Lytechinus pictus: one gene and its partner. The protein of the gene in region 2 interacts with the protein of the main gene of each other region in a pairwise test. Links are inferred from orthologs where the notes say so. Each region holds a gene or a part of one and is shown on either strand. Other genes may lie near its edges.

Region 1 (17,321 bases), on a different chromosome or scaffold from region 2:
CTGCGGGCAACTCAGACTTGCGTGCTTCTCTGCGGGCAACATGCGTGTGAGATGCGTGCGAGATACTGTCAATGCGGGCGACCTGCGAGTAGCAAAAGTAGTTACCCGCAAGTCGCCCGCAAGGCTTGCACGGAACGATGTGACAGGGCCTTAAACATCGAACAATTTCCGATATTTTAATCATTGCATGGAGCTTCTTGATATAGCCATATAATTTCCACCATGGTGAGGATAATAGTTAAAAAAATAAAGAATATTATTATTAAGTATACAAAATAATAAAATATCTATTTGTTTAAGCTACTGGGGCATCTGGCGATGTCTCCTCATTATAACTCATGTTCCGCTTTTTTTGGGTGTAAATCCCTCAACGTTCATCGTGATGACTAATTGGAAGAGTAATACTAGTAATAGTACTACACATGCAAAACAAGGGAGAGGAGAGGTATTTCCATGGAGGTAACATGCGACCATGGAGCAATGCGACTGTATTTGCCCGCGGATTTCCATCTCACCGGAAGCATGTACCAAATGACGTCATTTAAACACGTTTACGATCGTGGTTCTGTTTATACTTCCCCAGAAAGCCTGATTCTGGTCAAACGACGTTTACAAACGCACCTTTTTGTGAGTTTACGATCGGCGTTCTGAAACAGCGTTTATATGAAAGTAAGCATGGACGCAACCGTGTTTTGGACTAATCACGTTTGGAAACGCTGATTCTGGCCTGAAAAGTGGAAACATAAACACGGCCTTAGAGATGCAAGCCTATATTTTTCCCACATACGACTATCAGAATATGACCCTCACGTATTATGGACTCAAAAAGATCGATGACCAAAAAAATGTTGTAAGGGGGAAGTGATTTCCACCGGAAATATTAGTATCCCGTAATTAGTAACCATCTGGAATAAAATTATTGGAAATGGTTTTTTGACTGATTTGAGTAGGTATGGGTGTCAAAATTTACAAAAAAAAAGTTAGGAGGAATACGGGTTGGGGAAAGTGCTTTTTTTTCAAGGTCAAAGGTCAATGACCTTTTTTAACATACTGTATTATGGTATCTCCCAGATAAAATATTACAGGTTGGTGATCATGGTGTCAAAATGCAGTTTCTTACAAGATCAAATAAAATCAAATCAAGTACCTACAATGCTCATTCACCCATGAAATTCAAGGTGAAAGCCTTTCAAAGGTCAATGACCTTTTTTACATAATGTAACATATACGGTATAATGGTATCTCTGAGATGAAAAGGCGCAGGTTGGTGATCCTGGTGTCCAAATACAGAGGTTCTTACAGGTAGATCAAATGAAATAAAATTAAGTACCCAGAATGCACATTAAACAATAACATTCAAGGTCAAAGCCTTTCAAAGGTCAATGAACTTTTTTTATACTATATACCATATACGTTATAATGGTATCTCTGAGATGAAAAGGCGCAGGTTGGTGATCTTGGTGTCAAAATGCACAGATTCTTACAGGAAGGTCAAATAAGATAAAGTTAATCACCTAGAATGCATATTAATCCATAAAGTTCAAGGTCAAAGGTCAATGACCTTTTACATAGGCTATATATCGTATAATGGTATCTCTGAGATAAAACGCTGCATGTTGGTGATTTTAATGTCAAAAGCAATATTTGCAATAAGATAAAAAGGCACAAAATAATCATAAAGAATAATCCTTCACCTTTGATATCCAAAGTCAAAAGTCAAAAGTTGATCAATTTTCATATAATATATGAATATTTATATTATCAATGCATGATTCCCCCCAAAAGAAATTAATCCATTATATTCACATTTTATTTGTGAAATATAGAAAGAAAGATAGCTTTTGTAATGAAAACTTGGATGTTTAATAATTTCACTCTGAAGGATAAAAAATGGCCATAAAAAATATATTTAGGGGTTAGAGGTCAATCAACTATATCAATAACGTCAGGGAATTTAAATAAATAGGTCGATATAACGTGATTGTGGCATGTAGGTATAGTGATTCTGATGGGAAAAAGACTGACCTGCGTGGAAAATGAACACAAATTTAATAGTTGAATCCTTGACCAATGATGATGTCAAAATAAAAGTTCAAGGTGAAATTGAGATCAAATAGCACTTTTTAATATATATTGTAGTAATACATTGCCAAAAGTGTAAAAAAATCATGTATGATATAATTTGAAATGGTGAAGTTGTCTAAAGTAGCAGCATTTAGATATGCATTTTACAAATCTAAATCAAGGTACTAATTTCTCTGTAGCAATAGGTCACTAACCTCAAATGCTACAATCAATACTATAAAACTATAACTTAATCTGTAAATGGAAAGGATAGGCCTAACTCTTATGGCAAGCATCATCCGAGAACATTTTCATATAGCCAGGGACAATGATGAAGAAGTGAAATAAGGCAATAATTAGAGCTGCAGCTTTTGTCATAGTAAATGAAGTTAAGTGTCTCAACTCTCAACTTCAGCAAAGAGTAATAAAACTCTTGAAAACCTTCTGACATTTTCAGGACTTTGATCTGGCACATTCAATGAAAGCCTAATGTTCTGTCAAGGGATATCAGACCAGGATCTATTATTACTGATATCTTGCACAGCTTGATTCTCAAGAACTGGAAGTAGTGCTGTAAGAGTTTTGTTAGGTCGATGGATGTGTACTTGTAATCTATCATCTCCTTTTGAATTTTATTATTATATGCCTACCGGTAATTTGTGCATAACAATCAGTTGTTTTGGACCAAATACACGATCCTTGTACAAAATGATACCTAGTAGAAGATTAAGCTAATAGTTTATATTATTCATAGCATTGAGGTGAGTGGCCTATCGCTGGAGAGAAAAGACATGACAACCTTGATTTAGATATTATTATGCATTAAATGCTGCTACTTAAGATAAAAAATATTTCAAATTATATACTTCATTTCATTGTTTTATTGCTTTTGGCAACGCATCGCAGTATATGAAGAAGTGTTATTTGGTTATCAACTTTTTTTAACTTAATTTCCACTGATATTTTGGAAAGGGTTCATTGACCTCTGACCCCTAAATCCATTCTCCATGACCTTCATTATTTCAGACTGAAATCATGAAACCTCCAAATTTTAATTACAAATTAGCCATCTTTAATTACATTATTCACAAATAAAATATGAACACAAAGGATAAATTATTGGTTATTTTTATGTCATACAGATTATATACATACATATATATATATATATATATATATATACAGTGCGTCCCACAAAAAACGAAACCGAGATTTATCAATGATTTATCATAACTTAATCACAAATATAATAGACAAATGACCTACCATTGTAAAGCTTAGAATCTCCTCTTTCATCTGGAATTACTTGGATTATTTCTCATTCACGCATGAATGAGCAAAAACAATTTGAAGAGGGGATACCAAAAAGTCATTTGGCGGGCTGTATCTGGGTTTCAAAAAGAAAACCACATTTTTGAAAAGTTCAGTATCTGCTCTTTAATTTGATACCTCAATTACCGAAAATGGTCAAGAAATAAAAAAGTTCTGGTTATTTGAAATAAGGCTTGAATTTCAATAATTTCATAAAATGAAGAGGTTTTACAGGTTAGCGTCAAAGTCACTCGACACTCCGTTTTGTTGACGATCAGCCATGCATTATGTCTTTTGTTAACCATGCGATAGCTTCTGTGGGAAACCGGTGAAAACACGTTTATTTAATGAAATTATGGAAATACAAGCGTTGTTTCGAGGGAACATAACTTTTGTACTTCTTGACCAATTTTGTGATTAAGGTATCATATAAAAGAGCAGATATTGAACTTTTTAGGCATGTGATTTTCTTTTTGAAATTCAGATACCCCTCGCCAAATTAGTTTTTGGTATCCTTTCTTCAAATTGTTTTTGCTCACTCATGCATGAATGAGGAATAATCTCAGTAATATCAGATGAAAGAGGAGATTCTAAGCTTTACAATGGTAGGTCATTTGTCTATTGCATTTGTGATTTAGTTATGATAAATCATCGCTTAATCTCGGTTTCGTTTTTTCTGGGACGCACTGTATATATACATACATATATATACTAACATATATATATATATATATATATATATATATATATATATATATATATATATATATATATACATACATATATATATATACTATATATATATATATATATATATATGTATATATATATATATATATATGTATATATATATATATATATATATATATATATATATATATATATATATATATGTATATATATATATATATATATATGTATATATATATATATATGTATATATATATATATATATATATATATATATATACAGTATATATATCCTCTGATCTTGGATTTCAAGGGTGGAAGTTTATTCTTTATACTTATTTTGGTGTTGTTTAATCTTCTTATACAAGTTTTTGCATTTTGGCACCAAGATCACCAACCTGCGGTGTTTTATCTCAGAGATACCATTATTATTATCTAATGTTACAAAGGATATTTACATTTGTCTTTGAATTTTATGGGTGAATGTGCATTCTCGATGCTTACCGTAAGTAGCGGTCTATTAACCGCACCTTTTTCTCGGCGGGATAGAAGCAAAAGTCGGGGGTGCGGTTTATCCACGGTGACGGGTCTGAGCCAGCCCGCCGTAACCCTTCCCGAACATGTAAGACGTCTGCCAGTTCACAACACATCGAGTGGCCGGGCGTAGCCGCCCAGGGCAATGTCGTTTAGAGGGGTATGAGCCGCGGGTAATGAGAAGCGATTATTACGATTATTACAAATATTGTCCATAACAAACGCACCCACCTTCATGACACTAATTTTGACTTTATTCTCGGTTCAAAGCAGCGAAGTTCCCTTTCAAAGAGATGCCAAGCATACTCGGTAATATTTTGTCACAGCTGAGCGAGCGCGAAAGTTGAGTGAGCTGAGCTAGCTAGCTTGCGTTGTATATGGTTATAGTGCGACTTAAGCTGGCGCTATAACCCTCGATCCCCCTCCAAAGTCCTGTTTCGCACCAGCTTATTTTTTCTTTCCCGTTTGGTTTTCATAAGATACCATGTACACCACGCACGAGAGAGACGGCACGAAGCCTTAAAAACAACTGTAAAAAATGCCAATTTCTTTGTTTCTTGAACCTTCCTGTAATCCCGTATCAAAAATTCATTCTAAGACATCAAATGCTAGACAAATTATGAAAGTGATTGTGAGTTTGTGATGCAAGAAATGTGAATGTTTCTTCCTCCTACGCCGGGAAAGACACAGATCATTAATTAATAAGATGTACTGGTAGTGGTACCGTATTGTAGTTTGCGATGTACAACAACAGCATTGCTGTGTGTGTGTACACTGTGACTGTGAGGTGAGTGAGTGTGTTAGTGGCCAATATTGTCGAGACCTATCTTTCTTGCTAACATTTGTAGATGAATTGATCAAGAACAGCAGATTTCCGCATACCGGTAATCTCTTTGGATACTTTGAAATCTTTAACTTAGTTTTTGTTTCTTCATACCTCAAATATAATGTGAGAAGGATTGGGGTGCGGTTAATCCACGGGTGCGGTTTATAGTCCGTTACTTACGGTAATTTTATTTAATTTAGTCTTCCTACAGGTAAGAATCTGTGTATTTTGACACCAAGAACACCAACCTGCGCCGTTTTATCTTAGAGATACCATTATATAATATGATATATAATGTATAAAAGATCATTGACCTTTGACCTTAAATTTTATGGGTCAATGTGCATTTTAGGTACTTAATTTTATTCTTTTTGATCTTCTGGTAGGAATCTGTGCATTTTGACACCATAATCACCAACCTGTGCCTTTTCATCTCAGAGATACCATTATACAGTATGGTATATAATGTAAAAAATAATTGACCTTTGAAAAGCTTTGACCTTGAATTTTATTGGTGAATGTCCATTCTAGATACTTAATTTATATTATTTGATCTTCTTGTAAGAATCTGTACATTTTGACACCATGATCACCAGCCTGTACCTTATCTCAGAGATACCATTATACGGAATGGTATATAATGGAAAAAAGGTCATTGACCTTTGAAAGGCTTTGACCTTGAATTTCATCGGTGAATGTGCATTCTAGGCAATAAATTTTATTTTATTTGATATTCTGGTAAGAATTTGTGCATTTTCACACCATTATCACCAACCTGCACCCTTCCATCTCAGAGATACCACTATACAGTATATATGAAAAGGTCATTGACCTTGAAAAAAAAACACTTTCCCCATCCCGTATTCCTCCTAACTTTTTTTGGTAAATGTTGACACCCATACCTACTCAAATCAGTTGAAAAACCATTTCCAATAATTTTATTCCAGATTGGCTAGTTTGGGGTCTAATTTAAGGATACTATATCGCTGCCGAGATCGCACATGTTCGCTCTATCACCCAAAAATCTGCAATGGCCTCCGCGGGGGTTCCTTACGGCAGGAAATTTGACACCCTTCCAAATATGGCATGATCCTAAAAATCAAACATATCGGCCGATTGAATTTGAAACACGAGCTGTTGAGGTGCGCGCGCTCGTTTTCAGAACGAAGTTGCATGCAACTGAGCGAAGACATCCGATGTTCGGAGCCAAAACAAAAGAGGTCCATTTGGTAAGTAAACAGGGTTGTTGATTTTTTTGATTTTTTTTATTTAAATCTGATTTTTATGATTTAAATCAGATTTTTTTGATTTTTTTCCAACGAAAAATAATGGTCACACTTAACAAGTTTTAAACTATATTTAAACTGTTTTACACCAATAATAGTGGTCAAGTAGTCTTTTGAACATTGTGTATTGTACTATTTGACACAATAATCCACTTATATACAGGTAATTTTTTTATTTTTTTTTTATTTATTTGCATTATAGAGAGGGACATTTTATGGAAGCCCAAGTAATGTTATGTATTATGTATACATTTAAACTCTTGAAATTTTTATATCAGTCAGTTCAAAACATCCGAAGTGTTACTCCAATGCATGAAGTACTCAAAGAACTTGAGAATTTCCAACAAAATTGACATTATTAAAGGCCTGTTAGGGTTCTTATACTGCCCTTGGGAATTCTAGCTGGGAATATTTCCTAGAATTATCACATGGGGGATTTTAGCTAGGAATATTTCCTAGAACTATCACATGGGGGACTTCCCAACTAACAGCTGGTAATAGCTAATAAACAAAGGGTTTTTGAAAGAATGGGTATTAATAGTAACAAGGAGGTACATACAAGTAGTTCAACTGTTTTGTAAAAGTATCCAAGTTGTGGACTTTGAGCACCTTTGTAGATTTTATATATTATTTTATTGAAGATTTAACAGTTTGGTGTAGATACAGAGAGTTATTTATCATTACTTCGTTAGAAACTTGTTGTTTTCATCAGTTTTGCTTGTTTTACAATTTGAAAATAAAACAGTGGTGTTAAATCAGACTCCATGAGGGTGTATCATTCTTTTAAAGTATCTCTAAAGCATGTGGAACAGAAATGAAAATGATTACATTGAAAGTATCTGTTAAGAAGAAGAGAAAATAGAGAAAACTAATTTTTTTCATAAAAGTTGATTTAAATCAGTGATTTTTTTGAAAAAAATCAAGTGATTTAAATCGCGATTTAAATCATGATTTAAATCGACATGATTTAAATCAAACAACCCTGTAAGTAAATCATCATTATTTACCGAGTTCTATATCAAAATTATTGATAATAATAATAATAATTAAAATCGGCATTTGCACAGCTAAAATAAATTATTTTATCAACAATTAAGCAATTATTTTGGGGTCTAAAAAAGTTAGAGCGTGATGACATACATTATGATATTCAACATTTATACTACAGAAATAAACATTATTTTTATTTGATTCAATGAATGTATTTTATTTTTGGTCCAATTATACTTAAGTGTCCGATATTTGGGCACTTTAGTCTTCTTTACTCTCTAAGTCTCTATCTTGACTTTGGTCTTTGTCATGTTTCAAACAAATTTTATTAAAATCGGATAACATTGTTTGTCAGTAGAGGCGCACGGCCAATATTGGAGACTATCTCCAATGTGGGAGATTATCTCCAATATCAGAGACTTTTGTAAAGAATTTTGGTATCCAATTTTAGAGACAGTCTCCAGTTTTGGAATCCAATTTCCTTTGTTTACATTTGCTGCAAAAGGATTACCTTGGCGGCAAATAAAAATGTGATAAGCAGATTCCTCATGAAAAATTACCCCTTTTCACCGTCTACTTTTTGATAAGGATTTTTGTTGTCAATCACACACAAAACAAATGGGCTTCTGACCTCAGTCAGTCAGTGAGACAAAATTTGGGGTGGAAAAAATCATGCTTTTGTTGGTGTTGTTTCTTTTGTCCTTTTGTAAAGCAAGTCTCCAATGTGGGAGATTGTCTCCCCTATTGGAGAGAGTCTCCCATATTGGTCGTGCGCCTCTACTGTTTGTTATCCGATTTTAATAAAATTTTAAGCATTTTGAATTTGATCTGTGAATTTTACTCTATTTATTTAGATTTAAATATTTTCAGCCCAAAGTATCCCTTAAAGTCTACATTTTATGAAATTGGTACATATACTTTCTAAATTATGACATTTCAAAACCAAAAACTAAACCTTGAGGCTTGAAATTGAACTGTTCGGTTGTCTTCAATCACGACACACACGAATTCCCATGTATGGGACTGATAGTGATACGCCTAGATCTAATTGAGTAAAAAAATGGCCTTACACAGTCCTCTTCATCCTTTCGTCTACGTTCCTTCACTCGTTGAGAGACTTTGAGAGTGTCTTCATTTTCTATTTGCTCTGCCAGTGGTCCACTCGTGAAGACAGGGTCTCCTCTTTTTGGTCGATTCTTCTTTGTTTTCCCCATAATAATATATTACTAATACTATTGTGATGTCAATATCAATTAACACAATTCACGTGTACCGTACCGGTATAAAATATACCGGTACTGTTGCTGTCGACATGTCGCGCTCGGCAGCAGTTGCAGCATGCATGCATGCAGTCAAAGACCTTATAATATATTACGGCATGCAGTAGTATAGTCAGCATAGCATAGCAGCGGTCACGTCAGCAGCTAGCCGAGCTCTCTCTGGCTAGCGCCTGGCGACTAATAAGCACGCGCAAGCAATGAAGCTAGCAGATTAAAAAATAAAATAAAATAAACAAATTTCTTTCTTTTTTGTGGGTATTATAAATGTTGATTTTTTCTAGGCAAATTAAGTCAGTACATTCTGCCTACATGTTTTGTTTTGTTGCCTTGCTAAATTTTGTTGTTTTTCTTTACACTTAAAATTAAAGTTGTTGATCCCCCGGTTGATAAGGGAAAGTAAAGGCGGGCCGCCAGGGGCCCGTTTCTCAACACCGTCATATAAGTCTAACTTCTTGACTAAATCAGAGATAGTGAGCTACTTGTCCGCTAACCGTTTCACGAAGCCCTCTTTACCAAGATCGGGTACAACAACCTCACTAAATATTTTTGACACCTCCGAACCTGTCATTTAAGGGAGGCGCGATAGCTCAGACGGTCGGTAGAGCGGGGGTTTCGGATTCTGGTGACCCGGGTTCGATTCCCAAGTGGTGCGCTAGTGCCCTTTGGTAAGGCACTTATCCCCGCACTTATCCTCATTACCAGGTCCCTCGGAGAGGACCTTAAGCCGTTGGTCCCCTGGTTGCTTGCTCACAGGCATTCGTGCTTTCTTAGCAGTCAGGTAAAACAACCTCTATAACATAACTTCTTTCTTAATGACGTAGTGGCCGGCATCACGTGGGTAGACTATGACATGCAAAAGTGCCTAGAAATTTGAAAATTACAATCTTACGTAAAATGCAATCATAGAGGTTGAAATTACATCACAAAACAAGTGGGATAATGCATTCAATGATCCTTGTAATACAAAGAAAACTATAAATGTATATGTTTTTTTAATTATATTATGATGGTGATGCTGTTTTGTGCGCGGTTCCATGACTACCACAATCATGAATGTTATTATTTTAGTTCTTTTCGCTGTGAGCTTTATTGGATCCCTGAAGAAGACGTATGTTTAACGTCGAAAATTTGGAATTCAAAATAAACTGTTGGAACTAAGTACAATACATTACCACTTTGCCTCATTAATATCATCTATGTCCAACACGCGGAATGTAATATCGTTATATATATATATATATATATATATATATATATATATATATATATATATATATATATATATATATATAAAACGGAGATTATGAAGTTGATATATATATATATATATATATATATATATATATATATATATATATATATTAATCATAGATTTTGAAAGGAGCGTATAGCTCTCAGAAATCTGTCCCAAAAGGTACAGACAAAAAAAAGAAAAGGTTATCACCCAAAATGTAAAGTCATTATAACCCCAAAAAAAAATTTGACAAGCAAAAAAAAGGTTTTCACCAAGAAATGTAAGGTCATTTAGTCCAAAATACATGCATTATTTTTATTGTAAATGATGAATTTTTCTCACTCATAAAATATCATAAATAGTAGGGGGCATTTTATATTGTGTCCCTCTACTATTTTTGTCGACGCCCCTCCCCCCGTCCCCCTGCACCCCCCCCCCTGGGATTTCCGCCCATGCATGCATGAGTGCCCATGATGTGACAAAAAGAGAATTTAAAATCCGTTTCTGAAACAAATCGTGAAAAACACATCTGTTCATGGGCATACGGACTGTGAAACTATACGTGACCTTTCAAAGAAATCAATGCGCTGAAGATGGAGGAAGCGCACTGTAAAAGACGCATCTAAACACACGTTGCCATGACTGCAAGATGACAAAGGCGTTTCTCTGCCTCCAAAACAGGAAAATGAAAAGGCCTCGCCGCCAACAGTCGAGGTTTAACAGTAAAAAGTACCTGAGTAAAATAGAAATAGACTGCTTCGGCACATGGAATAAGATAATTGTAATGGTTTAGTAAATGCCGTATATATATATATATATGACGATATTACGTTCCGCGTGTTGGACATAGAAGATATTAATGAGGCAAAGTGGTAATGCATTGTACTTGTATATATATATACAGTATATATATATATATATATATATAGTGTCGAAAATCTGTCTATCTGACGGTCAATCGGATCGGGGTCGCCCTAGCCACTAACCCGTCTCTGTGGTCTAGTGGTTAAGGCACCGGCGTCAAAGCTGGGGGCCCGGGTTTGATTCCCGGCAGAGACCTTTTTAAGGCATTGCCAATTTTTCCAAAGGGTAGATAGCTCTGGGGAACCTTGATTTAAGCTACGCCTACCATTGTTCTCTTCATCCATTTCTTTCACAAAATATTTAAATAAAAAAGCTGTTGTACATGTATAATTTCACACATTTGTATATATTATATATATATATATATATATATATATATATATATATATATAATTATATATTGTAGCCGAACCGACTTTCTTTCCTGACGAGCTGGTTCGTTTAGGCTGCAATATGCAGTGCGTCCCCCAAAAAACTATACACTTTTGAAATGGCTGCCAAATAAAAAATGTATCACCTCGGGGGAAAGCCAATATACAAAACAAACTGGAAGAAATTGGAAGGCTAATTCAGGCCTATCTAGCCTAATTTCCATACCCTTTGTTTCAGTGGGCACTGCTCGCTCAAGCATGAAAGTTGGCTTTATTGGCTTTCCATATATATAAGTCTCCCCCCCCCCCCCAAGTGATACATTTTTTATTTGGCAGCCATTTCAAAAGTGTATATTTTTTTGGGGGACGCACTGTACAACCAGTTGGTGTAAAGGGCCGTCGGCCTTGCACTTCTGACTCTTTTTAATTGTTCCTTCTCACTCAGTAACTTAGATTATTTTAGCTCATGGATTTCAACATTTCCGTCATTCCGTATCTCCATTATCTCAATCATTCTAGTATTCAGTATCTCCGTAATTTAATCATTTCGGTATCTCAGTAATTTCAGTACTCTCAGTATCCTCACTCATCTCAGTATTTTCCGTATCTCAGTAAAGCCAGTATTCTCACTCCTTCTAGTCAGTACTTCCAACACTTTCATACTTCTGCTTTTCCGACCATTGTTGCTAGCTCCATACAACAAAATAACGACAAGTAAGAAGCAAGCATTCATCTCTAGCTCTTATAACTTTACTGAAGAAATCAAACTCATCCTGTCCCAGCAGGTTCCATTGAAAATTGGGCAGAGTTTCGCGCAGAAACCTCTTTGTCAAGCATATGGCATGGCTCGTAACCGAAGATGTGTGTGTGTATTTGAGTTTTGTCAAACGTGTATCAATCAGATATGATTTTTTACGTTAGGAACGACCTTTAACGCCACCATCCGAAAGACGTGACCAGGTCCCGAACCTCGAACCTCCGCATCAATTTGTAACTTCCCCACATAGCTTAGATTGCAGGCCCACGCTCGATTATGGTCAACTTTTGGTTACCGCCTCTCATCAAATTGTCAGCTATAGGCTGTTAAGCTAGAGCCTGATTAAAAAAAAAAAACAGTTAAATTCATAAAATAAATCTTTCCAGCAACGGCAATGGTGTTTGTCGCTTTTTTTATACCCAAACAGTAAGGAGCAATTAAAAGTAAATAATATGAGCATATAATTGTAAACATCGTTTTTTCTCAGCAAAATAATTAGTAAATTTTATACATTTTAAAGAAAATACCTACATAATCGATTACAAACAATCGATTACTGAATATGCAACTATATATATTACAGGGATTAAAAATATATTCTACGCTCTTCACTGTCACGAACCATACTGAATTAAATAAACCTTTCATTTCGTAACAATATATATAATATATATTGTTTAGGGAGATATGAGTGGCATTAATGCTTCCAAATAATTGAAAATAAATTTTATAAGAAGTCCTTTTCACGATACAAAACTGCCGTTTTCAGGTCAGCATATCAATAAATTTTGCTTGCATTGACAACTTTAGGCTTATCTGGATTCAAATGTCGCTTGAATTAAAATCTGTCCTTCTTCAGATCATATAGCTCGTGCTTCGCACCGCATCATTATATGCCTCTTGTTCATGAATTAAAATGGTGCTGCAGCCTTATGATTTTCAATTCAGATCAAAGAGAAACAAAAAATTTCAGCTCTGGCTTCACGCTCGCATTATTGGTTAAATAATAATTCAAATGACTGCCCCCTTCGGATCAGTAGAAAAAAAAAATCAGCTCGTACTTCGCGTTATAGCATTATTGGTTCAATACAAAGAGATGTATAGTATACATCTCTATGGTTCAATATGATAATCTTGTTCATGCTTCAAATTAATGGTGGTTATGAAGTAGACCCTAAGGCTAAAATGCAGATAGTACGCAGAAAAAATGCAATAAGTGATATTCTCCATCGCAATATCAACCCCAAAATTTCACACAAATTTTTCTGTAATCCACCCCCCCCCCCCCCCCTCCCTTGGAATTGTTGGATCCGCGCCCCATCATTACTTTCTGCACCTTCGAGAAAATTAAAAAATAAATAATTAAATCTTTTTTCGGTCGCTACCGTTACCCTCCTACTATTGGTCGCCGGTAATCGCCAGTTTTTGCCGCAACGCAATAACGCAACGTAAGTTTGCATGTATGATTCAAGTGAGCGTGCGTGTGGGCGATTTTTGACAAAGGAGATTTTTTATTTTACTTTGAAGAGGAAACAGGGAGCAGAAGTAAAAGTTGGATGGTGAGTTGGAAGAAAATAGACTGTAGTGAAGTTTACTTAAAAAGAGTGAAAATTGGCACCGTACTCCAGCCTTAGAATCTAGTCTCTAGAAATTACTTTTGTTGAAGCTCCACATTTCTTGTTGAGAATCTGTACGGTACCGGTACCGGTACGGTATACAAATAGCGAATAGGCACGAGTGCGATGGTGCGAGATTTCGCATGAGGTGAAAGAAAGATGCTCTAAGTCTAAAATAAAGTCTAAGCCTCTATTCAACGAGGCGTGAGCCGAGTTGAATAGAGCGTTTCTTTCTTTCACCGAACGCGAAATCTCGCACCATTGCACGAACAAGAATTATTCGCTATTTGTGTTGTACAACGCCTCGGAATTTAGCGAAAATATGAAAAAACAAAGCCGAGTTTATCCCTAGGCTAGGCGGCTAGGCCTATACTTACTAGTATAGTAATCTATGAAAAGGGAGCAAAAATACCGAAAGCAGAAAGCAAAATCCGTGTAGGCGCACATGACATTGGGCAGCCTTGCGTATTTAGCCAGCGCAATGAATTAAATCGTAATGTGACGTCACCTCCTAAAGCCGTGCAACGGTACATTTTGGATGGTACGTCTTTTGTGCAACGGTACGAATGTTTGACATTCAGCCTCCCATTTGCTCGCGTACAACAAGCTAAGACTAAGTTAGGCTAAGTAGTAGACCAAAAGCTTCAGTCTCTGTATTTTGGTTGTTCCGCTGAACTACGTTGGCTCCACTCACCATACATAGACTGAAGGGGATGGGGCCCCGTACCTACACTGTAAGCCAACGTATAGCAAGGCTCGACATTAGCGGTGGCCCGGGGCCACCAGAAATTCACCTCGGGCAACCATTAATGAAAAAATATTAAGTTTTGGTGGCCCGAACCGGGCAACCAATAATTTTCAGATTAGTGCAATTTTTCTCCCCCTTTTGCACGCATTTATCAACTTTCTACAATTCAAATTGCAAGCCAGTTCGTCATGCGCCCTTTTTGTTGATCTACACACAAACACACACACAAAGTTGGCCTACCGCTATAGCATTAAGTAGCTTTTATCCAGCCGGCTGCGCCGGCCGGCTGGCGTGAGCTTTGCATGCTTGAAGCAGCTGTGCGTTAGCAGCCTACTCAGACTCAGGGAGCTGCGATACGAAATGTTGCTGCTAAGAAATCTTCCACAGAACTATGAAAATCCAAGTCAAAGTCACATTTTACACCAATGAAATGCCCTTCTACAGACCTTTTTGCTAAAATCTGGTGTATCCTGATTATTTGCAAGCATTAAAAAGAGGAATCATGACCTCTCTTTTGACTCAAAAAGACCGATTTCCAAATGAAAATTATATACATAAAAACACATAGGTGAGTACATCACAGTCCCACATGTGCATTTGTATGTATGTTTTTACTTGGTTTCTTTCGAAGCTGCGTCTTTTCCGGTCTTTTCTAGCCAAAAATAAACAGACAGTTACTTTCTTTCTTGTTTATAAATGATTTCTTAAACAACTCTTGAGAAAGAAAATACTTTGGGAAGGCATTTCATTATTATGAAATGTGAATTTTTCCAACATTTTGGCAAATTTAGGGAAGGAATTTTCTCACACTTTTTTTTGCTGTTTTATTATTTTCTTTCATTTTTTTTACAGTGGTTAAACCATTTATACCCATTTATTAATTTTTAATGTTTTTCTTTATATTTTTCGGGCCACCAAACTTTAATATCGGGCCACCAAAAAAAATTATTCAAAGATTTTGGTGGCCCGAACGGGCCACCACCAAAAAAAGTTAATGTGGAGCCTTGCGTATAGTGAACTAGCGTTTTATAGATCGCGATTTAAAACTGTTTTTTAAGCAAAATTGAAAGTTTCATGGTTTCCATTATCAGGGAAATATAAATAACTTAAAGGGGAATCCAACCCTGGTATTTCTGTATCATTTTCAAATGAAGAGTTTGATTCTGATTAATTTGATACCAAATTTATCCGAATCGGTTAAGCGAAACTGGAGTTATTGAAAGATTACGAACCCCAAAGTAGGTCTTTCAATTATCGTCTGCTGCTCATGCAAGTCGCCATTTCTAGTAGACCCCCAGCGAAGGTATGACGTATGGCACGGACATCTTCGATCGCGAGCGCTGGCCTGGAGAGATCCGTCGCGCGCTAGCAGACGCTATTTCTATAGGTTCAGTGTGCAATTTACCGAGCAAGATGGTGTTTTGCCAGGCCTACGGCTGCAACAACAGAACTGGAAAAAAGTGTGGAGGGAAATCTTTCCACCGATTTCCCAATCCCAAAACTAGACCGGACGTTTTCAAGAAATGGGCAGCAGCAGTGAAAGTAGAGAAATTTCTGCTAAAAAGCTACAAATGGACTCCAAATGACCAGATATGTAGCGATCATTTTGTGGAGTCCGACTACGAAGTCGATCTTCGTGCAAAATTGATGGGGACCAAACCGCGGGTTCTTCTAAAAGAAGACGCTGTTCCGTCGGTATTTTCATTTTCATCTTCATCGGGACCTTCGACATCATCAAGAGATGAGCGATCAGCTCAAGCAAGTTGTAAAGAGGTATGTTTTTCCCGTCTTTATTCCAAAAAGTACATGTTTTGTAGCTTGTTTGTGAAAAGTGAGTGCCATGGCCACGTGAGTTTTGCTTTGATTGCGTGTGTACAAATACGTCTTGTGGCGTAGTCTCTGCACATGCAGACCGCTGTTTGTTTGTTGATGTGAATGTCTCGCGATAAAACATCTATTTGTGATTTGATTTCACTTGTAAATTATGATAGTAAAAAAGGGTTACTGATGACGATGAAAAGATCATGTAGCTGCCCCGACTTCTTTATTCAAATTGGTATGTTTCTTTAGATCTAGACCGCGCTTTGCTTGCACTTTTTGCAGCCATCGATCTATTCTGACGACCGTGGTGGTGTTCCCTTGGACTTGCCATTCCCCATGACTAGCAGCCGCAGCCTTAGCTGCTGCATGCCTCGAATGTTCAGTGCGCTGTGCTCTCCCCCGACAGTATATGGCCATGATTCAGGGGCGGATCTAGGATTTGTCAAAGGGGGGGGGGGTGGGAAAAACGACAAGGGAAAAAAGAGGATTGGAAAATTTGGGGGGATTCTGTTTTATACTGTTATTTTTAATAGCGTTTTTACATTACAAATTTTAATTGTGCCTCTCAAAGGGCGGGGGGGGGGGGGCACGGGAAAGCTGTGCCCCCCTGGATCTGCCAGTGCCATGATGTGTGTGAAAGTCACAGTCCTACTTTTTTATTGTTTTGAAATTCGAAGGCTGCTAATTTTGCTAACACTAACGCTACTACGGTACATGATTTGTATGACCTTCTTTCTTGGTATCATGTTTCCATTGGATTGGGCAGGCTAGAGGCAGTGTTGGAGACAGACAGTGCGTGTGCAAGGTCCTGTTTATCATAATATAGGAAAACAAAAAGTTTGAAAATAGAGTCTATCAGTTTTGACTTTGTTCTTGACTGATCAATTTTCCATTGTGAGTGCTGTAGCCCCTGAATTAATCCACTTTGT
Region 2 (16,851 bases):
GCTTTAATGAAACTCTGGCACATGAATCATGACGAATGTATCCTACCTCAATCCATATTTAAACTTTATTAAAATATATATCTTTTTGGAGACCCCGAGGTGGCAAAACTGCATCCCCGCGGCATTCCCGCCACAAAACCAGTTTGACTTGTATAATCGACTTGGAAAAGAAAATATGAGACATCAGTCAACATGTTTCCTGAAGAAAGTTTTTTTTTGTTTATTTAAGCCTACGCCCACGGGAGCCCTCCGAATTTACCCCATCCCCTCTCCGTATTTCGACTTTAAATAAAAAAATATCGTGTTTTAAAACCATCGGCAAGGCAAATTGCGTTTTTTGGTATAATAAAGCAACTATTATATCTATATTTTTATATTCTTTGCATTCTCCTCTTGAAAAAAAAAACATAGAAGGCATTGTTTTATATCTCTTAAAATAAGTTCGTGTACGTGACAGTGGCCTGTCGAAGTTGCCCAACCGTTTATTTGGTTTCGACAATATATATTTAGAATATCGTCTAAATGAAACCCTCATCTGGAAAAGGGCACTTATTAAATGCAGCATCTACATTATATAGAGGAAGCCCTGGCACTGGGAAGAGGGGGCTGAAGCTTGTTAAATTTCTTCGGACCAAAATTTTACATTGAAACTTTTTTGCTTTTCAAATTAACATCAAGAAATTTAACAAGCAAATAAACAAAATGGATTGCACTACAAAATGAAGGGGTTTTTTTGGTAACATTTCTTTTTTTCGTTTTGTCACATCTGCCGGAATTCGAGGGGGTGCTGTCTATGGAGAATAACACACGCAGCACAGCCCCCCCCCCCCCCCTTCAGAAAAATCTTGCGGGTGCTTCAGCCCCCGCTTCCAAGTACCAGGGCATCCTCTATATAATGTAGATGCTGCCTTTAATAAGTGCCCTTTTCCAGATGAGGGCTTCATTTAGACGATATTCTAAATATATATTGTCAAAACAAAATAAAGGGTTGGGCAACTTCGACAGGCCACCGTCATGTACACGAACTTATTTTATGCGATATAAAACAATGCCTTCTATGTTTTTTTTTTCAAGAGGAGAAAGTAAAGAGGCTTTACTGTGTGTAGTAGAAATGTATCTTTCTTCCGAATGGACTCTAAAAATATTTAAATTTAATATAGAGTGGAATCAATAAAGGGGTATTTTAGAGCTTACGTGTGGCTTTTCTTCAATGTATCACAGCTCTTCTACATGTCAATTGTAGAGTATTTTCACCTCAATCTATTCCAAGATATGAGTTCTAAAGACAATAAATTATTTTTGAATACATAAAACCAAAAGGGGAAAGGATATCCTAGGCATGCTCCTGTTGGGTTATAGCCTTTACTGTGCTAGAGCATTATTACAAACTGCAAAACAACAACAACAATGATAATAATAACAATAATAATAATAATAATATTAATGATAATAATAATATTAATATAGATAAATATGAAATATAGATATAAAAGTTGCTTTATTATACCAAAAACGCAATTTGCCTTGCCGGTGGCTTTAAAACACGATATTTTTTATTTATTTAGTGTCGAAATACATAGAGGGGATGGGGTAAATTCGGAGGGCTCCCATGGACGTAGGCTTAAATAAAAAAAAAACTATCTTCTGGAAACATGTTAACTGATGTCTCATACATCTGTCTTTTCCAAGTCGATAATACAACTCAAACTGGTTTTGTAAAGTAGCGGGAATGCCGCGGGGAATGCAGTTTTGCCACTTTGGGGTCTCAAAAAGATATATATTTTAACAAAGTTAAAATATGGATTGAGGTGGGGTACATTCGTCATGATTCATGTGCCAGAGCTTCATTAAAGCAGTAACCTGCAAAGCAATGTATCCTGTAAATTTTCCAAGAGAAACAAATTAGAAACAAATAAAACAAAATTAATAGTGTTTTACCGATACCGAAATGCATTTTGCCCGTATATACCATAGATTACGGTGTGGCAGACACACCAACAAAAGCGATACGAGAAGCCGATGGAAGCTATTGTGTTGAGATTTTGTTATCTCGAATGACATACCATTGATCGCTTTATTGTCCGATTCGTGAGTGTGACTGTGACATAGAGGTTGTTTTGGTCTCGTTTTAGCGCAATATCACGTCATACATTTTGACATATTTGCCCTCTTTCTAAGCAAATTAAGACACTAATACTGTCATGAAGCATATCGATGTTTTCGCTAATATATTCTCTTTCATGTAGAATGTTGACATTGTGTATTAATTGCTGTTATTTAGAAAACAGTTCAGGATTCATGAAAAAATACTTTGTTTTAAATTATAATTTGCATAATTTTATGTAAATTAGGTAATAATAAACAAGGATATCCCAATTATTTTATGACAATTTTCTTCCCTTTCTTACCCTAAGTCTTTATTTCCAATTTTAGGGCAGTTCTGGTTAAAAATATATTCTGAAATACTTGTTTTTACTATATCGACATAATATGCAAATTTATGCAAATTACTTGCTTATTTGCATAGATACAGCGTGTCTCTTTGGATGAATCCTTTTCTTTTGACTCAAGGAACATTTGTGCCAAGTGGGACATTTGTACTAAAAAATGCAGCGTTCACCCCTTTTTTTGCAGTTAACAAGTCTACTACATATGATTGTGATATTTTGGTCAGCCCCCCCCCCTCACTTTGAAAACCATTCCGTGGCCCCTGCGTCCCCATGCGGTAATCTCTTCAAATTACCTGCACCTGCTAGCTGTTTTGAAACCCTATCCAGCTAACCAGGACTCTGGATTTTAGGCTACTCCAAAATGTTATTAATCTGGTCTTGTACTTTGGTGGGAAAAGTGTGATCTAGACCCAATTAAAAGTTGCCACATATCAAGAGTGACATTGTGAGAAAGTACAGAATTCCAGCTTCTGATAATATAGATATTATTAACTTAAGACTCAAAATAAAAGGTTTTGCATGATTTGCAAAAGAAAACAGGGGAAGAAAATTCATGCCTGAAATTCACTATTTATCAAAATAGTCAATACAAAATAAATGACTAATATGAAAGAGGAACATTTACTCTGTCCAATGGTGCAATGATGTTTAATTTGACTTGATTATACATTTTTAGAGAAAAAAAATCTGATTCACAAGATTTTGCAGATGCAGCCATGAAAAAAAATTGGATAAATCTAGCATATTTGCTCATTAGCAGGGGCGTACATAAGGGGGGAAGGGGGGCTCTTCCCCCCCCCCAAAAAAAAAAAAAAAAAAAAGTTGTGACCAAGAAAAAAAAAGAGAAAAGGAAACGGAGAAGAGTAAAATATTTTATTTTCTGAATGTGAACATCTATCACAAAATGGATTTGTGTCATAAAAATGCTGAAATTTTTGCTCGCTCATATTTTCAGAATGCACATGTTGCACTTATTGAAATCATTTGACAATAAATACTATCGTGTATAGACAAGGGAGAAAATGGAAAAAAGAGGGGGTAATAAGGTGAAATATGATAGTTTTCAATAGTCAAAATCTATCCCAGAATCATATTTTATATCATAAAAAAGGTCACAAATTTTGCCCATTCACTTCTCTCCCTTGCATATATTTTTCACAAATTCCCGAATCTGGCCCCATTGATAATTTTGGCTCAATACACCACATAAAGTCATAAGTTGTAACTAAAGCCAAATATTTTGTTACCTTCAAAATAGTTTTATGTCAGCCCTCCCTCTGCGTCTCTAACCCTTCCTCTCTCGGACCTCGATCCTCTTATACCCTACAAAACTCCGTTAACCTCTTGCTTTTCTACTCACTCTTTTTTCTCTGAAATTGATAATCCTTATATATATATTTAGTATGTACAAAAGTCAAATTCAACAAAAATCATGAAAATACGATACAATGATTCCAGAAACAAAACATTTATGAAAGAGCATGCTTATATATTATGCTTATCGAATAGCAATAAAATAAAAATGACAATAAAATAAAAATGCAGGTGTCCATGCAATGATATCGAAGTACAGATTTCTCCGCTGTAAGTTTTTTTTTAGTGTTTTGGGTGATTTATTTTTCTCCTCCCCATTTATATCTCTGGAAATAAGCTTCTGAGCTTTCGTGGGTTATCCTGTTCAAGCATACTATTTGATGGATAAAATCAATTACTTTAGGATGACTTGGGAAATGAAATTAATCAATCAATAATATAAGTAAATCAATCAATCAAGTTATCAATCAATCAATAAACCGATCAATCAAACAATCAACCAACAAATCAATGATCTATCTATATACCTATCTAATTATCTATCTATATATCTATATCTATCTATCATTCTATCTATCTATTATTATTTCTAGCATCTTCTTCCTTGTATTCTTCATTTCTTCTCATATCTCAGTTGACTCTTGCTACTACTGTTTTTGTTCTACATGCAGTTCTCTTCTACGAAACGATTTTTAAAGTGGACACCCCTAGTAATTAATTCATCCTAGAAATTGTCGATAATGTTACCATGGTAACTTTCTTTTTCGCACGCAGCGATGATGAGCTGAAAATTCGGAGGCACCCCACATCAAGGACTATGTAATCAGGCGTTCGTAAAACATGTACTTCCACTTTTGGTGACGGCCTATCACAATATTGTTTTTCAATGACTATTGTCTGTTGCAAAGGTTGCTTCAGTCGTATAAGATAATAAGGAAATTCACAAAAGTACCCCAAAAAATTATGAGCAAATGAGGATTATAATGAGTCGAGATTTGTTTAATGAGAACTCAGGCTCACTGGTGAGAGGTGAGATTAGAATGGAAAAAAAGATGGGACCATGATCGGGAATAAGGGGGCCTTTTTAATATATATCATGGGCCACCACAGACAATGTTTGATAAACACATCCAAAACCGAAAAAAATAGTACAGAAATCGAAATTAAAAGGAAAATAATGCAGAAAGGGGTAATATTTACATGAATGATCTTTGAAATCATATTCAGAGATGAGACAACATTGAAATTCTGGGAATAATTCCATTCACAATAAAATATTTATAAAATTTGATTTAAATTTTAATAATACAGGAAGGGACACAGCCGGCCCGTGTGCCCCTTCCCCTTGAGAGCCATAATAAAAACTTGTAATGTATACCGCTTTTAGTGTGCCCCCCCCCCCTGAATGCTGTCCTAAATGTTTTATTAAAGGCATTTTGTGATCAGTAACTCATTATAACCATACTCTCGTGATGCAGCTGATAAAAACTTTGCAATAAGGCCTAACAGTGGAATTTGTCATGGCCATTCCGTAAAGGGGCGGAGTGACCGCTCGAGAAAATCTTTTGTTTTTAAAATGCATAATGGGTCAATTTAAACACTTTTTAATTGAAATGAACCCATTCATTAACATCGCAATATTAATCTTTTTAAAGGATGTTTTATTGTATTCTCTCAAATCAAAATACACATTCACATTCCATAAGCAAGTTGTACAAATTATTTGAAACATGATTATAAATTATGCAATAAATCCATAACCCATAGAATTATAAAAATTATACATCAAACTTCAAAGATACCGGAAATTAATACTGATGCGTTTCAGCAATTACAAAATGAAATATTAAATGACAAGAGAGGAAAAAATATATAAAAAGGTGATGTTCTACCTCCCACCCCCGCCCCCCCCCCCCCCCCACGTCCCCAGGTATAGGAGCACCCTCCCCTTTATGCCTACTCTACATGGAAGGGATTCCAATCCTCCGTATTGTTCTCGTTTTTTCTGTGTTTTTGTTTATTTATTTTTTGTTTTGTGGTCTTGTCTGTCGCTGTATATATACCTCGATCGATCCGCCTCACTCTCCCTATATATTCCTTTAATTTAGATTTTCCCATTTCCTTAAATGTAGAGACATCTTGCCTCTACCTATAACGCCACTGATTCTGATGATCGATTAACAAAATATCTCTTGGGCAAGGGGGGGGGGGCATAATTTCCCCCCTGGCCACGCAGTTCCGCCGCTGATGGCCTATATCCCTATATCACCAGCAGCAGCAGCAGCCTATCATCACCACTATCATCATCATCATCACCACCACCACCACCACTTCACAGGGCTCCCAACTCCCACTCATTGAGAGTGAGACTCACTCATTTTGGTCCTCTCTCACTTAAAGGGATGGTCCGGGCTGAAAATATTTATATCTTAAAACATAGAGTAGAATTCACTAAGCAAAATGCTGAAAATTTCATCAAAATTGGATAACAAATAAAAAAGTTATTGAAGTTTAAAGTTTAGCAATATTTTGTGAAAACAGTCATCATGAATATTCATTAGGTGGGCTGATGATGTCACATCTCCACTTTCCGTTTTCTTATGTTATTACATAAAATCATATTTTTTTCATTATTTCATACTCGTGTGAATAATATGTCTCCCTTATAATGAAATAAATTGCAGCAATAAATATTTAGTGCACTAAATCAGTTGTCAATCCAAAATTTCTAGTTCTTGGGAGAAAAAAAATTGAATAAACCTAATTTCATATAATAAAATACAAAAGAACAAGTGGGGATGTGACATCATCAGCCCACCTAATGAATATTCATGACAACTGTTTTCACAAAATATTGCTAAACTTTAAAATTCAATAACTTTGTCATTTGTTATCCGATCTTGATAAAATTCTCGGCAATTTGCTCTGTAAATTCTACTCCATTTATTAAGCTATAAATACTTCCAGCCCGGACCATCCCTTTAACTCAAAAGTTTTGTTTCATTTGCACGCGCATTTCTATCGATCTCACTATTTTGACCGACCTAAATCATGCCATTGTATGTTACACTCTCAACTCGCCCAGTGTTGGTACCGCTGTCATTATATGTATATTTCTATATAATAGCCCCGATGTCATGTTACCAAAGTGCAAGCCTAATGATCTTGTTCAATCGGCTTCTTTTAATTCCCCTCAGTCTTATGCAATTTTTGCACTGCCATCCGCTGGCCTTTTACCAGGGTACCCGCGGTGAGCTCATTTAGGCCTATATTTCTACATAATTATTTATACTTCTCTCTCATTAGGCTTATCTTACTTTTGAATTGACCCCATTTAATTTAGGTTATTGATTAAAGCCAATATTCTGTTTTATTACGTTTTCAAAACATCGTTTATTTTGTGAATTTTCGGCCTATAATACAAACTGATGAGGCACAGGGGTAATTTGTTGCACCTTATCAATTTTTGTTGTTGGAATTACGGGGAAAGTTATTTGGTGATCACGTGCACCCCGCTTTTATTATTATTCATTTATTTATTTATTTATTTTGGGGGTCAATGCTAGAAATTGTCATTCACAAAGGTAAGTACATGTAAAAAAGTTTTCACTACAAAATGGAAGTAAAATTGGTCTGGAGAAAAATTTGAAAAGCAAAAAAATAAAGTTTCACTACAAAATGAAAGTCATATTGGTTACATTATTCCATTTTTACACATCTATGGAGAATACTACACACAGCACCTCAAGGAAATTTTGTTGTGCTTTCACCCCCAGCACCCCCGCTTCCAAGGGTCATCCCCCCCCCCCCCCCAAGCTGATTCCTATACAGGTATGCCGTCTTCAAATTCCAAAGTGATCGGCTGGCGGATACCACTGTATTGTACCACTGATTTTCAGTTCAGTGTATTGTACACATCCGGCTTCTTTATTGCCCTCAATCCTCATCGCCTCCAATCAAAAGCGTCTCGTCTCCATAACTGCGATATCGCTAGGAACGCTCAGGATCTCCTGTGCGTGTCACCGGCAACGCAACCGGCCGGCCCGGTCGATCGAGCTTTTACACTCGACTCGTGAGGATTTGACTCGAGACCAGTGCGGTGACTTGGAAGCCAACTCTATCGAAGGAAGGAAATATTTATTTGCGTGGTAAGTAGCTCTCAAATCATAATAATTTAAATGTAAATGAGTTTCGCATTAGTTTCATGTCAAATTGTATTGCTTTAGAATCCGGATATCTCGACTTTTCGAGTATAAGGATAAAATTTATAGCAGAATACTTTGGTCTCGAATCAATATCAGCTCAGTGCAGTGTCGAGTGTGTGCGACAGTGCAGTTTTGTCTTGGTAGGATAGGATGGGGGGTTGGGTGTCCGGACACTATATTTTTGAAGCCTTCTTTTTTGTCTTTGGATTACCCTAAAAATATGAATTCAATAGTTGTAATCATCTTCTATTTTGTTCTCTATAATATTTCCTACATTTTGTACTAAAAATTGATGAAACTTCGCCTGTGATTTTTTTTCAAATGACTTCCTAAAATTGATCGTCCGGACACACAACCTGTCCGGACACACAAAAACTGGGTATACTGTCTGTATGGGGATTCGTCTGTATAGCCGCCTCAATTCTTGAGGCCGGGTTGGCGATCAGCTCTCAATAGATTGCACTGTCTGGAAATGGAAAGATGCCCATATTTTAAAAGAAAACCTTGAAAGTATTTTGATGTATACTTATAGTGCATGTATGTCTGATATCTGTATCGGTGGAATTTATTTGTCATCCTTGGAAGTTGGAATACTTTTAGCCTTTAGGCACATGATTTTTATACTTGTAATTTATTGCATTTGGCCCAGTGTTTCCACTTTTCCTGAAATTCAGGAAATTTTGACTTTTTCTAGGAAAGGTTTGGGAAATGAAAAAATTCTGGGAAATCCAAAAATTACAATTCACAATAATTAAACGTAGCAACTTTTAATATTCATGTAGCTCAAAATTTTCTGCTCGCGCTCCGCGCTCACATTTCATAATTTTTTTCCTATTTTAAAAGAGGGCGTACACAAAAAAAATGTACCTTGACTTTGATTTCCTTGATTTTGGTCACTTAGACCAAATTTAGGCTTGCTTTATTATTGCCCTACTTGTATTTTTGTTAAAAATCAATCTTGAAACTTCAAGGAAATGTCTATGAATTTGGGGAAATTTGGCATTCAGTTTCTGGAAATTTGTTTTGGATCTGTGGAAACACTGATTTGGATTCAGTCCGTCTTTTTGACCCAATTCGTTCTTAAATGTACCGTATGTTTAGCTAGCTACCATTTACTCTTCCAGACCAAGTGAATAGGCCTATAAGTCAATTTTTTTATCCTTAAATTCTGTTGAATTACCGGGGTAAGTTTTTTTTTACGGAATAAAAGGTATTGATTCATAATTCTAAAAAATAAATTGAATCAAGCAAGTTTGAAAGTGGGATGCAAACCCATATGTACTACATGTATGCCTTTTCATCAGTAGGCCTTCAGTGAAGAAATCTGACCCGACAATGTTATCGCCATGATTGATGACACATTTGTGGACTCTATATCCTTGGTAGCTAGGCTTGGTACTGTAGGACTTGCAAATTTGAGGATTACTACTGGGCATGTCAGCCAACAAAATTTAGTTTATTATATCTATAGGTCTACATGTATAAAAACCTAATAGCCAGTGCATATACATGTAGGATGATCGTGTTCATCTTTCTTGAGTTGCAGATTCTTGTGTCCAGCTTTCTGTCTGCATTATTTCCTATTCTTGATTTTTCTTGTAGATGGTGTGTTCGTGATGATGATCATACATGTATTGGTAACAAACGTACCGAGTATGACTTGATATCTTCAAAGTGCATGTCAGGCTTCAATAAGTGTTGATTAAGAAATCCATCAGATCCTCACCATGTATCATCATACTAGTCCCAGAGTAAGTACTTCATTTCCTTGTAATTACTTTTTCTCTTTTAAGCATCATATCACCAATATACAGGGATGTAAACTATATGAATAATCATGAAGTGATTGATATGTGGATATTTATTTTCATATGGATCAAAGTTACTTCTCTGATGAATTAATTTGATACATGCTGTATAGATATAGTAAAAAAGACAAACCAATAAAAGCTTATCCGGCATGTTGTTAAAGATTGAATTATAAGTCCCTATTACTATTATTTTGTCTATTAAAGTGGAACAGATGAGAAGAGAGAGATGCTGTAGATTATTGGTTGTTTGATCAATATAATTTTTTTTCGATGTTTTCATAGATATTGAAGCACTCTTGCGATAGTTTCAAATGCCTGCTTTTAGGTTAATTTCCCAGTAATTACTAATTTTCTGTCAAAAATATTATAGAAATTATGATTTTTAAAGAAATGCTCTCAAAAAAGAATTTGGCCCCGATTTACAAATGTGAATAAACTTTTACCTAGATGGAAGCAGAATTTCATGTTTAAAGTGCACTTGATTCTGCTCTTTGAAAGGTCAGATAATGCATGCATTCCTTTGATAATGGGTGCTAAATTTTATGTCCATTGACGATGGTTTGTCCTAGAGATGATTAATATTATTGTAAAGTGTTTTTTTTTAACTGTAAGTTTATGAAATGATATATTGATGGCTTTAAACTTACCGACACTCCCTCCCCCATTTTTTGGTTAGCTGTGCATTCATGTATTTAAAATATCTCCCTTGGATATTAAAATTTTTGGACTTTGTGTTTTTAATGGACAGAACACCATTTTGAATGAACAAAATCATTTAAAATGTATGAAATTTTGTGTCTTATTATCTAAAAATGTGAAACAATTACTTAACCCTAGCAATAGGTGTAAATTTGCCCAAAATGCTAATTATTGGAGCTTTTCAAGTGTGGGTAATTATCAAACAATACACACCCCACTGAACCCAGAATAAAGCTAACAGATATTTTCAAATTCTGGCGTTTGTTCTCATTTTGTTAAATTTGTTGGAATTCATTATATGAGAGCTGCATGTACATGTAACCTCACAGAAACTTCATGATACGTAACCGCTAACTAGTCGCTAGCTTGCAGCGAGCTAGCTAGTGTTAGCTTAATAACTTGGTAATAGGCATGCAGAGAAAAGTGTTATTTTAGCGAGCATGTACTGTTTCTATCTTGCAATCGAATGTTAAGCTATACTAGCTAGTACTTGCATGAAGTGAAAGAATTTTACTGACTATATGAGAGAAAGTTGTAAATATAATTTTGTACAAAATAAATATTCATAGTGGGTTTGAAGTTTTGAACTAGATACATACACCAGCTTTTATACTTTTGGCAATCAATATTTCTTTTCAAGGCTAATAAGCGGCATTTGCACGCCATAGATTATAGATACAATGAGAAAATCAATGTACAAGTGACAATATTGATTTCTGTTCGTCGTCTATATATATTACGTCATGTAACACTTTGATTGTTTATTCAAACTTATTGTGTTTATATCTTGATTTACTTGCACTTTATTACCCAGCCTTAAAAAAGTTGCTTCTTAGTTTAATTTTAAACATTTACTTCAGCTCTTGAGCACTGCAGAAAATAGGCCTGTAAAAATTAAATTTGGCAATTTTTAGGTAAAGTTGTGACTTGTTATATTTTGATCTGCATTGTATAGTATTCAAAGTTCACACTAATTGTTGTATTATGGGTAGTTGGGTACTATCAATTACTTAGAATCATGAATTTTGATTTTAAATCAAATCACTTGGGATTTATTTTATGGATTATGATATATGTGCATAATGTGAGTTATGGATCAAAGGTTCACTGGAAGTATAGGCCTACATGTATAGTAAAACATCTGAGCCAACTTTTAGAAATGATGTCATTCTCTTTTAACGATTCTTTGATTGCAGTTTTGATTAGTTTTACATTTGAAAAAGAACAAATTTTGTCACTTGAAAATTATGTAAATTAACATAATTTGATTTTTATAAAGACCAATTTTCTCAAATTATGATATCTTTGGAAAATGATCTTCACTTGGTGAATAATTTGACAACTGGCACCCCATAAAGTGTGGTTTTAAAGGAAACCAAAAACCCCAAAAGAGAAGCAATCTTATTGGAAAGAGTAAAATGAGAGGAGCAATTAAAAAAAAAGTTTCATCAAAATTGGTTATGAAATAAGCAAGTTATGGACGTTTAAAAAGTTTTGTGGTAATTTCTTTCTATGGAGATCCTCAAATTGGCAAACGTGCTTCAAAATGGCTGATTTTGTGGACAACTCTCCATTTGATTTGTACACAAATTATCAGATTTTCCCCTTTATTTTACATATTTCACATTATCTCTTCCTGACCTAGAAATATGTGGTGTGAATTATATTTTCCCATGGCATATGTTGTGCTCAGAAGGAGGCAAGACGCAATTAGAATGATAATGAGGAAAATCTGAAAATTTGTGTACAAAACAAAAGGAGAGTTGTTCTGAAACATGTTTGCCAATTTGAGGATCCCCATAGAAAGTACAACAAGAGTTTTCAAACTCCCATATTAAACTTGCTTATTTCATTACTGATTTTGATGAAACTTTTTAAATTGTTCCGCTCATTTTACTCTTTCCAATAAGATTGCTTCACTTCTTGGGTTTTGGTTTCCTTTTAAAAAGGGGAAGACTGACAAAAAGTGTATTGTATCAAAAGCAGAAAAAGTAGTAAAAATATATTGGTGAAGGTTTGAGGAAAATCCACCAAAGGTTTAAAAAAGTTATACGAATTTTAATTTTCTGATTTGTGACATTATATGCGTGCAGCTTTCCCATGTATATCGATGTAAAAAATTGTACCTTTAGTATATCAACAGACAAATATTATAATTTTTATTACGGCAGCTGCTCATATATGATGTCACAAATCCAAAACTTCAAATTCCTATAATAATTTTCTTAATCTTTGATGGATTTTTCCTCAATCCTTCAACAATATAATTATTTTTAATGGTGTTTTTACAAGAAATTTTTCTTCAGGGTGAACTATCCCCTTAATGCAACCTGTATGATAATACCACCCCTATTGTTTTATAGGTCTTTCCATCAACTTCCCTTGTGAAACCATGGAGGCAAGTACTTGTAGAAGTTCTGCCTCCATGATGAAACTATGCTATGGAAAACTTATATTTATTAATCCCATCATGCCTATATAAGAAATTAAGAAGCAGATTGTAGTCCATGTTTGTTTAAGGGTCGTTTAATCTCTTGAGATTGGGCATGGTTGCTTAGCAACCACACAATAATGAAATGAAGTGTGATGTCTGACACTGTCTGTATTGAAACAGCTGACGCTTGCTTTGTTTAAGAGAAGCAATCCAGATTTAATTTCAAACTGCCATTGTTGTGACTTTGTGAGTCAAATTTCCCTGTTAGGTAGAAATGAGCTAGACTTACATGTATGTACAGATGTAATTTCAGAATATTCCCGCCTAGGAGCATCATGGTGTAGATATAATTTTAAAATCAGTAAAAGTTTATTTTTCTATCAGTTTGACCGAGGAAGTATCACTTCATCTTCCTCCTTGGTTTTGACTGCATATTACTGCATTGTCTTTTTTATCATATAATTGTAATTAATCTACATGTACACTGTAGTCTTCTTAGATTAAATGATCACACTCAGAAGTGCACAATTCTATTTGTTATTTTTCAGATGGCCAGTTTCTTTATTTCAAAGAAATTAGCTATAAGGATAAATTTGCAAAGAAAGGGGTGATAATAATCCATTAGATTCATACAGTGCACATACACTGTAGGTGCTTCAAAAAGAGAAAATAGGCCTACATTACAATTTGAGAAAAAGAGGTACAAAAGAAATTAATCAGATTTTCATTGGTCAGATTTTGTTCAGTATTTCACTCATTAATACCTACCCATACAGTTATGTAGTAGGCCTGCATGTATTAGCTATTGATTTCATATATGTGTACTTTATTCATGTTTATTTTGTTCTTTAAAAAAATGAACAAAATAAACATAAATTTTGAACCTATGGATTTCATAAAATTTATGGATAAATAATCAGTTGATACATTGTTTTGAATTAAGAAATAATTACAAATGATATTAAAAGGGAATTAGTTAATCTATTAAAAAAGACAATATATGAAAGGTTTCATAATTTAGCACTCTTTTATCCTTGATAAGTACACTTATTTATTGTCTTGAAGATCAGTGCTTCGATCTAACTTAGGATATGAAACTATGGAATAAGAAATATTCTCCACTCTCCAGACTCAACAAGCATTGATTGCTGCATTTCAAAGGCCATCCTTATCAAAAGAAATGACACCTGCACAAAGGTCAATATCTTTATATAAAACCAAGCAATCAAGGACCCTACAATGTAGACTGTATAAAGCAGGAATTCAGAGTGCTTGTTCAAATCTATGTGTTAAATATCAAAAGTCATTATAACAGGTGTTTGTATTCAGGAGCTTCCAGCTGCATCTTTTAAAGATGAAAATTGTATTTTGGTTAACTTATAGATGCTGGCTGCTTTATGAAATGCCAGTATTTGAAATACTGGATTTTTACTATGACAGGTCTGCTCTATGGATTTTAGAATTTTCATTTCAAGAAAGTCACAGAATGACATCACTTCGTTTGTTTGAGGTTGTAGAAACATGGTTTTACGACTTCTGGCCTTTTGGCCAATTAAAAAAATGATTGATTGATTCATAATGAAACTCGATATGGACGGATCTCAATTATTTATTAGAGGGATATGAATTTCAATTGTTAGTAATCTCCATTGATTTTGATTTTGATCAAATACACATGTGTGACCACGGATAGTGTGACACATTGATCATTGCAATTATTTACATTCTTTGACTGCCTAGAATAATGAAGATGAGACTCTATATGCATGAGAGTAAAATGAAATACCTTTAAAGGACAAGTCCACTTTGATTTGAATAAAAAGAGAAAAATCAAACAAGCATAACACTGAAAATTTCATCAAAATCGGATGTAAAGTAAGAAAGTTATATGCCTTTTTAAACTTTCGCTTAATTTCATATGCACATCCTGGTTGGTATGAAAATGAGGGGACTGATGACATTCACTTACTATTTATTTTGTATTTCATTACATGAAATATGAAATATTCAAATTTTCTCCTCATTGTCCTGTAAAACAAAGTTTTATTCCTCCCTGAACATGTGGCATTACCATTGTTAGATTTATTTTATAGTTCAATTATTGGTCCTCAATGTCAAATTGGTACAAATTGAAATATTGTATAATTCAAACAATAAAAGACATAAGAAATAGTGAGTACACTGTAATTGATATCATCTACTCTCTCATTTGCATCTCACTGAGTTGTGCTTATTACTGTTTTGTGGAAAATAAGTGAAACTTTAAAATGACATAACTCTCTTATTTTACATCATTTATTGGATTTCACCAGATATATCACCTTTTCTATTGTGCCCTTTTAAATCATGCTATTACATACTGGCCTATATTACAAGTACATGTACTGTAACACACCAAGTATCTCCTGATCAAGATAGAATACCCACTGAAACAAATATTATGTACAAGTTGATTATTATTTTTCCTGGTTGGGGAGGTCCGAAAGCTCCACATGCAGGGAATGAAGGATTTTTGTTTTACTACATGGATGTACATGTAACATTGTATTTCTTTCTTTGCTAGGGTAATGAAAACATGAGCTTCAAGACTCCGAAGACATTCCATGCTGGTGTGAGGGTAACATCCCCTACACCATCAAGAGCAGAGTCTATGATGGAAGAACTGGGATTTGATGACAGTAAGTATTAAAGAAAGAGAAACAGAGATCAAGAAGATGAAAACATTAATATTTTTATGAGAAAGTAAGAAATGAACAATAGAGGCTATCAAGAAAGAAAGAAAAATCCCCACTTGTTTTTTTTCTCATTTTGATTTTTTTTTGTGGGTGCTTACTTCAACACCCTCAACTTGCCAGAAAGAGTCAAACCCTTTTTCCTATTTTTTTCTGTTAGTGCATGTGTACATCAATATAGTTGACTCCACCCCCCCCCCCTTGGCCTTTGAGGAGGGGAAGATGTACATGTAGAAGAGCTAACATATTTATAAGAATAAGGGAGAAAGAAGAAATCCATAAAACACTGGAAAAGAAAAATGTGCAAAAGAATAAGAAAGGACAGAAAGGAAGTTACTGATAAAATTACTGTGAAAATAAATGAAGTCTCTCTCACTTTCAGTATTTTGTCAGATATTGTAAAGTCAGCTGTAAGATTACCAATATTTTTAATAATTTTTGAGAAATAAGATGCCTCGTAGGATGAAAGTGTTTAAATACTAAAGGTGTGGGGAAGTTACTGATAAAATTACTGTTAAAATAATGTAGGCACTCTCACTTTAAGTATTTTGTCTTATAGTAAGTCAGTTGTAAGACTACCAATTGTACAATGATTAATAGTTTGTTTTCCCTCAAATCAGTCTCTTCATCAGACTCTTGTTATGGAAACAACAAACAAGATACAGTCAGGAAAAAAAAATGTAATGACATCACTCTTCTGTGAAGCTTCATGAAAAGTAAGAGTAAGAAAATACTCTTGCGTGGTTTCCCCAATTCCTTTCTTGAATTTAATACACCCAAGGTTTAATTTTAGCATATAAAAGGCTTGTTTTCTGCTGCAAGAAGACTCTATTATTAGCAAGACAATAACACTTTCATCCATTTGGAACATGCTGTTTTCTCTGCTCCACTGAGCATATATAACAATGTATACATGTACGCTTATAAATTATAATGTACATGTACATAGCATTATTTACTTGTAGTTTTTTGGAAGGAATGATTGAAAAAAAAATCTTGTAAATGGTTGAATAATTGTCACCTGTATGTTGTTTGTAATCAAGTAGTGTAGAATTGATTAAACAATTTTAGAAGAGTGAGAAGATAGTGTCCAAATATGAATGCAAATTGCAGTGTATAATAACTTGTAATAATGAATTGATTCAACTTAAAAAAGAAAAATGATGATATAACAACATCGGTATTTTGTAGAGAGCTGAATGTGCA

Evidence for each region.
Region 1: the proteins of kinesin-like protein KIFC3 (region 2) and bystin-like interact in binary tests that used the Homo sapiens proteins (3 or more experiments, as listed by UniProt). The link is inferred for Lytechinus pictus from reciprocal best matches to the Homo sapiens genes KIFC3 and BYSL.

Annotation. Positions count from the first base shown.
Region 1 is NC_087245.1:8,156,516-8,173,836, forward strand, and holds the start of bystin-like, read right to left. Parts: upstream 9,164-17,321; 5' UTR 8,916-9,163; coding exon 8,772-8,915; intron 1-8,771. Other genes in the region: uncharacterized protein LOC135153137, read left to right, coding at 13,764-13,766. UniProt on the Homo sapiens protein: Required for processing of 20S pre-rRNA precursor and biogenesis of 40S ribosomal subunits. May be required for trophinin-dependent regulation of cell adhesion during implantation of human embryos.
Region 2 is NC_087246.1:61,471,789-61,488,639, forward strand, and holds the start of kinesin-like protein KIFC3, read left to right. Parts: upstream 1-7,592; 5' UTR 7,593-7,912; intron 7,913-9,571; 5' UTR 9,572-9,696; coding exon 9,697-9,720; intron 9,721-15,476; coding exon 15,477-15,591; intron 15,592-16,851. UniProt on the Homo sapiens protein: Minus-end microtubule-dependent motor protein. Involved in apically targeted transport. Required for zonula adherens maintenance.